Saccharomyces cerevisiae S288C: one gene and its partners. Changing the gene in region 2 together with the main gene of any one other region gives a genetic interaction. Each region holds a gene or a part of one and is shown on either strand. Other genes may lie near its edges.

Region 1 (2,873 bases), on a different chromosome or scaffold from region 2:
GTTTGGAACTATCTCCGGATGAAGTAGCAAGTCTGACCAAAAGCCATAAGGACTACGTAGAGCATATAGCGACTCTCGTCTCGCCAAAGGGTACGTACAAAGGGTCCGGTATAGCCACAGTGGGTGGCGGGAAGTTCTCCCTTATGGCATTTTTGATCATTAAGACTTTAAGGAATATGGGGACCACGTTACCTGTGGAAGTCCTGATCCCTCCTGGTGATGAAGGTGAAACTGAGTTTTGTAACAAGATTCTGCCTAAGTATAACTCCAAGTGTATTTACGTTTCAGATATTCTACCACGAGAGACGATTGAAAAATTTGTTTTCAAAGGATACCAGTTTAAATCATTGGCCCTTATCGCTTCTAGTTTTGAAAACCTGCTCTTACTGGATGCTGACAACTTCCCCATCAAACCCCTAGACAACATATTCAATGAAGAACCATATGTGTCTACGGGCTTGGTCATGTGGCCCGATTTCTGGAGGCGTACAACTCACCCATTGTATTACGACATTGCAGGTATTGCTGTGGACAAGAAAAAGAGAGTTCGCAATTCTCGAGACGATATCACCCCACCTGCTGTTTACACAAAGGATTTGAAGGATTTGAGTGACGTCCCGCTAAGTGACCTAGACGGAACAATACCCGACGTGTCTACGGAATCCGGCCAACTGATGATAAACAAAACGAAGCATTTGGCTACGGCTCTTCTATCTTTATTCTACAACGTCAATGGACCAACGTGGTACTACCCAATATTTTCTCAAAAAGCTGCTGGTGAAGGTGATAAGGAAACTTTCATTGCCGCTGCAAACTTTTATGGTCTATCATTTTACCAAGTTAGAACAAGGACAGGCGTTGAAGGCTACCATGATGAAGACGGGTTTCATGGTGTAGCAATGTTACAACACGACTTTGTGCAGGATTATGGCCGTTACTTAAATGCTATGGAGAGCATTGGCAACAAATACGGTGGCACTAAATCAGCTGATGCAATCAAGTTTGACAAAAACTATTCCCTCGAAAAATACACCGAAGAATTTTTCGACAACGAGGACTTAAATGCCAAGAATCATGTAGATGTTATGTTCATCCATTCAAACTTCCCAAAGTTTGACCCATACGATTTATCTAAAAGCAATTTTTTGACTACGAATGGTAAACCTGCTCGTTCATATACGGCCTTAAAAAAGGTAAAAAATTACGATATTGAACTAGAGAATTTCAAGGTTTTAAACGAATATGTTTGTGTTAATAAGAATCCTTTCAAATATCTCGATGACCTTTTAGGGCAGGATAAAACGGAATGGAAAAGAGTGTGTGGTTACATCACCGATAGATTAGCATTTTTAGAATCTACTCATGATAAGGCGATTGCCGGTAAATAATATGCAACGGGTCGGACTATAGTTTGGACAACTTCCATTGGCGTTTTCTACATTCTTATTACTATTCCTTACATAGTTATGTTTATTTATCTTCCAGTTATGTAAATTTTTTCCTTCACAATCCATATAAAATGACTTTACTACAGATGTATAAATATGCAGTCCCGGGTGTATTTGAGAATCGAGACTACGTCATACCGGTAAGTGGGACTGCGTTTTGAAAAAAAATAAAGAAGTACTTTCGGCAGGATATTTGCCAATGTGTACATATCCCCTCAGTGAAAAAGCTCGAATCAAATAAAAGAAAAAACCTATATATTGGAAAGAAGCAAAATTTTCAAATTAAACGCAAAACAACTGAAGAAAATTAGAGATGGCTATTGTTATAAACAAAAGAAACGTGAGAGTCTTGGTAATAACTAATTTACTGCTCATTGTTGTGTTTTTTGTGTTAAGGAATTCGAATGCTAGCGTCAACGAAAGTATTACTACTCACCATCCTGATTCATTGGTGACGTTTGACAATTCAGGAAATGCACCTGGCACTCACCAATCTGTCCATGATACAGTAAATACACAAGATAAGGAAGCCGAAGAAGTTGATAAAAATAGTGGGGACGCTGAATTTGATGCCGCTGCAGAATACAACAAAATAATGGAACAGTCACCCATGATTGTATTTAGCAAGACTGGCTGCCCATATAGCAAAAAACTGAAAGCTTTGTTGACTAATTCGTACACGTTTTCTCCATCTTACTACGTTGTAGAATTGGATAGGCACGAACACACAAAAGAACTACAAGACCAGATTGAAAAAGTCACTGGTAGGAGAACAGTCCCAAACGTTATCATCGGTGGTACTTCCAGAGGTGGTTATACTGAGATAGCAGAGTTACATAAAAATGATGAACTTCTAGACTCTTTCAAAAAATGGAGCGATGGGGCGTTTACTGTAAAAGCTAATTCGCAATCTGAGAGTGCCTAGATCAGATTATAAACTGAGAGTTATTCTTCTTCTTCTCCCACAGTAGCGAAAGAGGATATTTAGGTAGTATACAGATTTAAATGTAGTAAGGAAAAAAATTAAATATTGGCCATCTGTTTTAGGCATTTCATGTGGACAACATAAGCCTTTTGGACTGTTTAAAGTAGGTTAACGTAGAGCAGAAAAATATGAGAAGAAGCCTGTAATTTGTATAGTCAAGCATATATATTACATGAGTTTGGTGATCAGCTTAATTTTTCAGTATTCAAAAAAATGCTTCCAATCGGATTTGAACCGATGATCTCCACATTACTAGTGTGGCGCCTTACCAACTTGGCCATAGAAGCAGTTTTTGATGTGAGAGTCGCGTAGCGAATTTGCTTATACAAATGTTAAGGTAACTTCAGATCTAAACTCAAACTTGTATTTTCCTCTATATTTATCTCATCTTGGATTGTGGTTTCCTAGTGTTGGTATAAAAATCAACTATCGTCTATCAA
Region 2 (4,368 bases):
AGGTCATCTAATTGCTCCCACCAGTTGAATAAGTAATTCTCGCAAATAATCTTAAACCAAGGCGTAAACTTGTAACTTGGGTCAGCAAACATAGTTTTCAAATCATTTGGTGAAACCCATTTGAAGTCTCTAACTTCATTGACGTTTGGGTTGACAGTCAAGTTTTCTTTAGCGTTGATCTTATAAAATAGGATGTAATCAATTTCATGTTCACCCCATGGTTCATTGCTTGGTGCCATGTAATGGATTCTGTTTAAAAAGTGAAACTTACCCCTTGTCTTAGTTTCATCTTCTGGAATACCTAATTCATGATCTAGTTTTCTCACCGCCGCAGTAATAGCGCCCTTAATCTTATCGTCTAGCTTACCCTTCAAACCTAATTCGTCATCAATACATAGTGGATGAGAGCAGCATGTGTTAGTCCAAAGATCAGGGAAAGTTATTTTTTCAGTGGCTCTTTGTTGTAAAAGTAATTCACCTTGTTCATTGAAAATAAAGACGGAGAATGCACGATGTAGTAAACCCTTTTCAATATTTTCCATTAAATGACAAACTTTCTTGGTACCGGCACCAATAGCATTATCGTCCCAATCCAAAACAATACAATTTTCATTCATTAACTTAATTTGCTCCTCATCATGACCAGAAAAACATGTTTCTCCGCTTTCGTCATTTGACGTCTCACTAGATCGGGTATTAGGTCTTTGTTGTAATGGAATAATTTCAGGAAACTCTTCCAAAATGTCTTCAGGTGTTTGGTTTTGCACTAATTTGGCGTAACTAGATACTGCACCATGGGGCATACTATTGTTGTCGGCAGTCATTGAGGTGTAATGAATTTTTGGCTTATTTTTACTCTTCCTGTATTCCAAATACGAATACTCTAATATTGAATTAAGTGGGATATACGCCTTCTTGTCACTAGAAAACTGTTTCCTGTTAAATAGATAAAAATGAATAAATAAATATAAATGGAGTTAAGACCGAAAAAGAAAGGCAACCCCCATCGACAAGAAAAGAGTTATGAATAATCATGTTTCTTAATAACAATTAAAGGGAAAAGAATCGGCTGGGCATCGTCATTGCGAAACTGTTGACTGGAAAAATTTCAATCACAATTAAGTTTTGTCCATTTCGTTCCAGCAAGAACGGAAACTTTTACCGATAGCAGCGGAAAAAAAGAAAAAAGAAAAAAAAAAGAAATTAATATAGGCAAAATAGCCGCATGAAGCCCTTAATAACCTATACTATTCTGTGACTGTTATTTATTTACCCTCGTAATATTAAAAATGTCCTATACAATTTCTGTAATAAAACCTAATTTTTTTAGGACCCTTGAGTGTTACCCTGCTCATGTTTTTATTTTTGTTTTAGAGAAATGTAAACAACAGTTTGGGAAAGTTTCAAGAATTGTAAACAACTAATCAAGGGATAATACTATTTTACTCTTTCCTTTAAACATGAAGAACTATTTTTTGTTTACGTTTTTTTCTGAATTGAACAATAAGATCTTGTTAATTTTTTTATCGCTTGATCTATTATCAGATCTTCTCTTTTGAAAAACTAGTCCTTTTCCAAATTACAAACTTTCTTTTCGTGTGGAGTTGATCAGTTCAGTTTCTCCAATACTTCTTAAGTCACTGAAAATATAACGAAAAAAAGGGCTCTGGAAGTAAACAGAGAAATTCGACGATATAATATGTCTTCCAAGCATTCAGATCCATTGGAGAGATTTTATAAGCAATTTCAAGCATTTGTTCAAAATAACCCTAATGTCATATCGGCAGCTCGAGCTGCCGCACAAATACCGGAATCTGCAAAAGCTGTTGTAGTACTATCCCCATATTCTTTACAGCATGTGTTCCCGAGAGAATGGGTAACAAAATCGTATAGGAAAACTATAGTCGAACGACCAGAAAGATTATTAGCAAGCTCGATGGGTATATCAGCTGCGATTACAATGTATCCATCCCTTTTCACCTTGAAATCCTCGCATCAAAGGAAAGGTTCATTGATGGCACCTCATGTGCTTAAAGTTCATGGCAGTAGCTGGCCGGCTGAGTTAATTGAACTTTGCCAAATGGCAGATGCTAAATTGCTAAAAGGCGAAATCGAAGTCCCAGATACTTGGAACTCAGGTGATATATACTTGAGCTCAAAGACAATTAAAGCTCTACAGGGAACAATTGGGGCCATTGAAACTGGTGTTGACTCAATTTTCAAAGGACCATCTGCAGAACATATTAGTAACAGAGCTTTTGTTGCTATACGGCCTCCTGGTCATCATTGCCACTATGGTACACCATCCGGCTTTTGTCTGTTAAACAATGCACATGTAGCCATAGAATATGCGTATGATACTTACAACGTCACGCATGTTGTCGTGCTTGATTTCGATCTACACCACGGTGATGGGACCCAAGACATTTGCTGGAAACGTGCGGGTTTCAAACCTGAGGAGGAACCTGAAGATTCATCTTATGATGATTTTGGTAAGAAATTTGCCGAATTTCCCAAAGTCGGTTATTTTTCTATGCATGATATAAATTCATTTCCAACAGAGTCGGGATTTGCCACAAAGGAGAACATTAAAAATGCATCTACCTGTATCATGAACTCTCATGACCTAAACATCTGGAATATTCACTTATCCAAATGGACAACCGAAGAAGAATTCAATGTATTATACAGGACAAAATATAGAACTTTATTTGCTAAAGCAGATGAATTTTTCAGGAGCGCAAAACTAGAAATGAATCAACAAGGGAGACCATTCAAAGGTTTGGTTGTCATAAGCGCAGGTTTCGATGCATCAGAATTTGAGCAAACTTCAATGCAAAGGCATAGTGTCAACGTTCCTACAAGTTTTTATACAACGTTCACCAAAGATGCATTGAAATTAGCACAAATGCACTGTCATGGCAAAGTTTTGTCTCTAATGGAGGGTGGATATTCTGATAAAGCTATATGTTCTGGTGTTTTCGCACATTTGATCGGTTTACAAAACCAAGATTGGGTTAAAGAATGGGGGTCTGAACAAGTCGTTAAAGAGATTGTTCGTGGTTGCAAACCGGCTTGGAAACCCTATAAGACAAAAAGAGCAAAAGATGTCATAAGAATATGGGCAGAAGAAGTTATCAGGCTGGGACGAGCAATGATACCGGAATTCGATGATATCATTTTTAAAGACGCAGTTAACAGCGCACCTTCTAATTCTCTACTAAAGGCTACTGTCGAACCAGCATCCACGTCGACAATTGCTCAAAGAATAATCAGATCTCATAGAAGCAACGCTTCCCCAGAAAAAGAACTTCATGAAAACAAGCCGAGAAGCACGGAAAAACAGGAACAAAGGGAAATTAGAAGCGATACCAAGGTCAAGCAGCTCTCGTCAAATAATAGAGCAGCTGAAACCCAAATTCCGTTTTTGCAACAAGAATTTTCCAGTGAGGATGAAGATGAAGAATACGTTTACGATGAAGAATTGAACAAAACTTTCAATCGCACGGTGGAGGATATTACCATTGATGATATTTCTAGACATTTGGAGACCTTAGAAATTGAAAAAAAAGGTGATGAAGATTCAGACCATGAGCTAAAAGAAAAAAATTGGAAAAACTCGCACCAACGCCGTCTACAAGGTAATGGAATGTATAAAATTCCCTCCAATACGAAACCGCATCGCATAAGACAGCCTCAAAACGCAAATACACCAACTTATGACGATAGTGATATATCAATGATTTCTCATGTTTCAAGAAAACATACAACAAGAAGTGGTGGAAGATGGTGATACCAATGCATATATAATGTTGTCTTGAACCCACTAAAGAAGTGACGCATATATTACTTTTTTGTATTTAGTAACACAATTTTTCTATTTTTATATTTCCTTGTATAGTTAGTAATTTTAATTTTTTTCCTTCTTTATCTCAGCTCTTCGACCATTTGGTCAAGAAGTTAGTTTTTTTCTCTTATTTTATTTGACAATATACTAATTTTATTATATGGTATTGTAAATAACATTTGAGGAATAAAAAGACAGTCACTCTATAAGCTTTATCAGCCTGACATTTTTTTATTATTACAAATATATCGTTGAAAGAAAGAAGCCTCTATACATCTCGCCCTCTTTCTATCATTAAATCAATGGAGGTTTACTGGCAACGTTATATTTCTACAATTTTAGACCATCAAACCTGAGGAATATGTATATCTACTTTCTCCCTTTCCTCTTCTTTAACTGGTTCACCACCCTGAAATATACACGCAAAGTCAGTGATGAATGGTTGAAGCATACTAATTGGAATATTTAGAGTTGGGGAAAACACGATGCATAAATTTCTTAGATTCATCTTATTAAACTTA
Region 3 (3,276 bases), on a different chromosome or scaffold from region 2:
CTACACTAAGACGAAAGAGAAAAACGAAATGTCCAAGAGTAATACTTATAGGATGCTCGTCTTACTAGAAGACGACACCAAGATAAATAAAGAAGATGAAAAATTTTTGAAAGGTAAGCCGGGAAAAATGCATGAATTTGTTGACGAGTTGATACTTCCATTTAATGTTGACGAACTGGACGAATTAAATACCTGGTTTGATAAGTTCGATGCCGAAATATGTATACCGAACGAAGGTCATATCAAATACGAAATTAGTAGCGATGGTTTAATTGTACTTATGCTAGATAAGGAAATTGAAGAGGTTGTCGAAAAAGTAAAGAAATTTGTCGAAGAGAATAACTGAAATAATGATGTTGCTTCGGTTTTTTGCATGAATATAACGTGACTGTTGCGTATGCATATGTGCACGTAATTTAAAGAGAGAGTGACAGAATCTGCGCATCAGCATGGGGGCATATACAAGCATATGAGAATTTGGATAATGTATTACATCTAATTTATAAAGTTTGTAGAACAGCCTCTAATTTATTTAGTCTTTCTCCCACGCCCAATTTCGTTATTAGTTTGTCCTCCTTGCCGATTAACTCCAGCAACATTGTGGGCAACAACTCTTTGTTGTAATACCGACACCATAGAGCGTGTCCGTTAAATTCTGTATATTCTAACTTCTTCAGGGATGCTCGATGAAAGCAAGCCGTGCATTGAACCAGATCATCCTTCTGGAATTTCGTGTAGCCGAGAAGCAACAGACCTACGAGAGAATAGTCTTTACAATCGAAAAAAAATGCCAATTTTTGTATTTCTTTCTCAGACAAGTAATGAAATATACGGGAAGAGTTTCTTTTAAGGCTAAATTCATTTGATCCGGAAACAATTCTGTCAATTTCTGTATGAATTCTTTCAATTTCCCTTATAAGGTTTTGTGAGCTTAAATAATACTCTTTGTTTAAATCAACCTGATTTTCCCTCCACGGACACTTTTGGAGATGATTTCCAATTATATTGGAATTCCAGATTTTTTCATTCAATTTCATGGTGTAATCGGCGACATCATCGCCATTTTTTAATAAAGGAATTGTCATAATGGCATGGCAACAACAGCACTTAAATGGCACTTGCGACTGGGATGCACTTTGGTACGGCTCCCAGCCCTTGGATGCTAGAGTCAGTGGATTGACCCATCGAACGTCCCATTCAATGAGCACATGCCTTGTGTAGTTTTGAATGGAGCATATTCTTTTCAACAAGGCCCGAAGATCGTGTAATCGGAAACCAACAAAATGTTTAGAGCTTTCTTGTACCAAATCATCATACAATTGCACGTGGCTCTTACATTTTTCAGGCAACATTGAACTGCCATTATGGGATTTCTTCTTGTACCTCCATTTGGTAATAAGTCGCTCTCCTAGAGTATTCCTATATTTTCCCGGTAAAAGTTTGGTATTCTTGTCCAGCGAATGTCTAATAGACTTCAGTCTAACCTCCAATGCGTCCTTTTCCATTAGTAACTGCCCTACTTTCCTGTCAATTCCTGGGGAATAATGTTTTATTTCTCCTTTACCATAGATTTCAAGATGACAGTTACTTTCGTTCCGAATGACTAGCGCTTGAAAATTTTTCAAACATTTTCCATATTCAATAAGCAAAACAAAGAGCATTTTGATTTGATAACAATTGTTTGGTAGTTTGATCTCATCATCAATCAGAGGTTTTTAACAAATTTATTTTTTGAATACATTTCAAAAGGAAATTGCATTTTGTCTTTTTTTTTTTGGGAGAATTTTGTGGGGTATTTCAATCATTGTTCCAACTTTACGTTCCTTTTTTGAATAAAGACACTTCTTATTATTAACAGGCTTTTATTTGTCAAATAAGATTCATTCAAAATTTCCATAAAGCATTACTTCTGCGATATACTACTAACGGAATTTTGGTTGCGTATTATTGTGTCTGACATTGTATGAAGGATACACAAAAAAATTAAAGATTAAGAAAGTTATTCAAAATGCCTATTATGTTGGAAGACTACCAAAAGAACTTTCTAGAGTTGGCCATCGAATGCCAGGCTCTAAGATTTGGTTCATTCAAGTTGAAATCAGGTAGAGAATCGCCATATTTCTTTAATTTGGGATTGTTCAATACTGGTAAATTGCTTTCCAATTTGGCTACTGCGTATGCAATTGCCATCATACAATCTGATTTGAAATTTGATGTGATTTTCGGTCCTGCCTACAAAGGTATCCCACTTGCTGCTATTGTTTGTGTGAAATTGGCGGAGATTGGTGGCTCTAAATTTCAAAACATTCAGTACGCTTTTAACAGAAAGGAAGCCAAAGATCATGGTGAAGGTGGTATCATTGTCGGCTCTGCCCTAGAGAACAAGAGAATATTAATCATCGACGACGTCATGACTGCTGGTACTGCCATTAACGAGGCCTTTGAGATCATCAGTAACGCCAAGGGTCAGGTAGTTGGCTCCATAATTGCTCTTGATAGACAGGAAGTTGTGAGTACTGACGATAAAGAAGGACTCAGCGCCACTCAAACTGTTAGCAAAAAATACGGTATCCCAGTCTTGAGCATTGTCTCCTTAATTCACATAATTACCTATTTGGAAGGCAGAATAACAGCAGAAGAGAAAAGCAAGATCGAACAATACCTTCAAACCTACGGTGCCTCCGCTTAAAAATCAGTTTTTTAATTAAATGATTTATTTATCTCTTTTAAGAACTATTAATCTTAGTTACTACGATACATGCACGCCGCTCATCTATATATGTGTATAAATAGCGTATATTCACACACATATATATAGAGCGAGAGAGTTTTCTTGTTACTTTTTTCTGTGTTTCGGTACCTCTTGCCTGTAGCTGCTTCAAAACTCTTGGCTTATTGAACTCTGTTTCAACTACAGACGAAATAATACGAATAATTGATTTGTCTTGATGTAAAAATTTAAAAGCTGATACAACAAGTCATTTAGCACTTGATCTGAACAAACATCATATTCTTATAGTTCTGCTATTATAATCTATTAATATATTAATATATTAATCTCAATATACATATACATATACATAAATGGGTAAAGGAGACAATCATCTTCTAACTACTTTGTACTTATTTTTTGGTGGCTTGAACGACTTTTCTGCCGCTGTAATCTTAGGAGTTTCGTAAACAGATTTTGTCATTGGGTGGCCCATCAAGAACGGACTATGCAGCGGAACAATCTCATTCATTTTGAATCCCTTTACACGTGGAATCTTTTTGAAT

What was found. A genetic interaction does not mean that the proteins touch.
Region 1: of HOS3 (region 2) and GRX7, extra expression of one is lethal in a mutant of the other (dosage lethality), as found in Saccharomyces cerevisiae (one study listed by BioGRID).
Region 3: mutations in HOS3 (region 2) and PML39 impair growth when combined (synthetic growth defect), as found in Saccharomyces cerevisiae (one study listed by BioGRID).

What each region holds. Positions count from the first base shown.
Region 1 is NC_001134.8:266,225-269,097, reverse strand, and holds GRX7 (glutathione-disulfide reductase GRX7), read left to right. Parts: upstream 1-1,761; coding exon 1,762-2,373; downstream 2,374-2,873. Other genes in the region: alpha-1,2-mannosyltransferase MNN2, read left to right, coding at 1-1,388.
Region 2 is NC_001148.4:327,907-332,274, forward strand, and holds HOS3 (histone deacetylase), read left to right. Parts: upstream 1-1,699; coding exon 1,700-3,793; downstream 3,794-4,368. Other genes in the region: isopentenyl-diphosphate delta-isomerase IDI1, read right to left, coding at 1-824; GTPase-activating protein BEM3, read right to left, coding at 4,194-4,368. UniProt on the Saccharomyces cerevisiae protein: Responsible for the deacetylation of lysine residues on the N-terminal part of the core histones (H2A, H2B, H3 and H4).
Region 3 is NC_001145.3:54,765-58,040, forward strand, and holds PML39 (Pml39p), read right to left. Parts: upstream 1,506-3,276; coding exon 501-1,505; downstream 1-500. Other genes in the region: YML108W (uncharacterized protein), read left to right, coding at 29-346; orotate phosphoribosyltransferase URA5, read left to right, coding at 2,009-2,689; RNA-binding signal recognition particle subunit SEC65, read right to left, coding at 3,102-3,276. UniProt on the Saccharomyces cerevisiae protein: Involved in the nuclear retention of improperly spliced pre-mRNAs.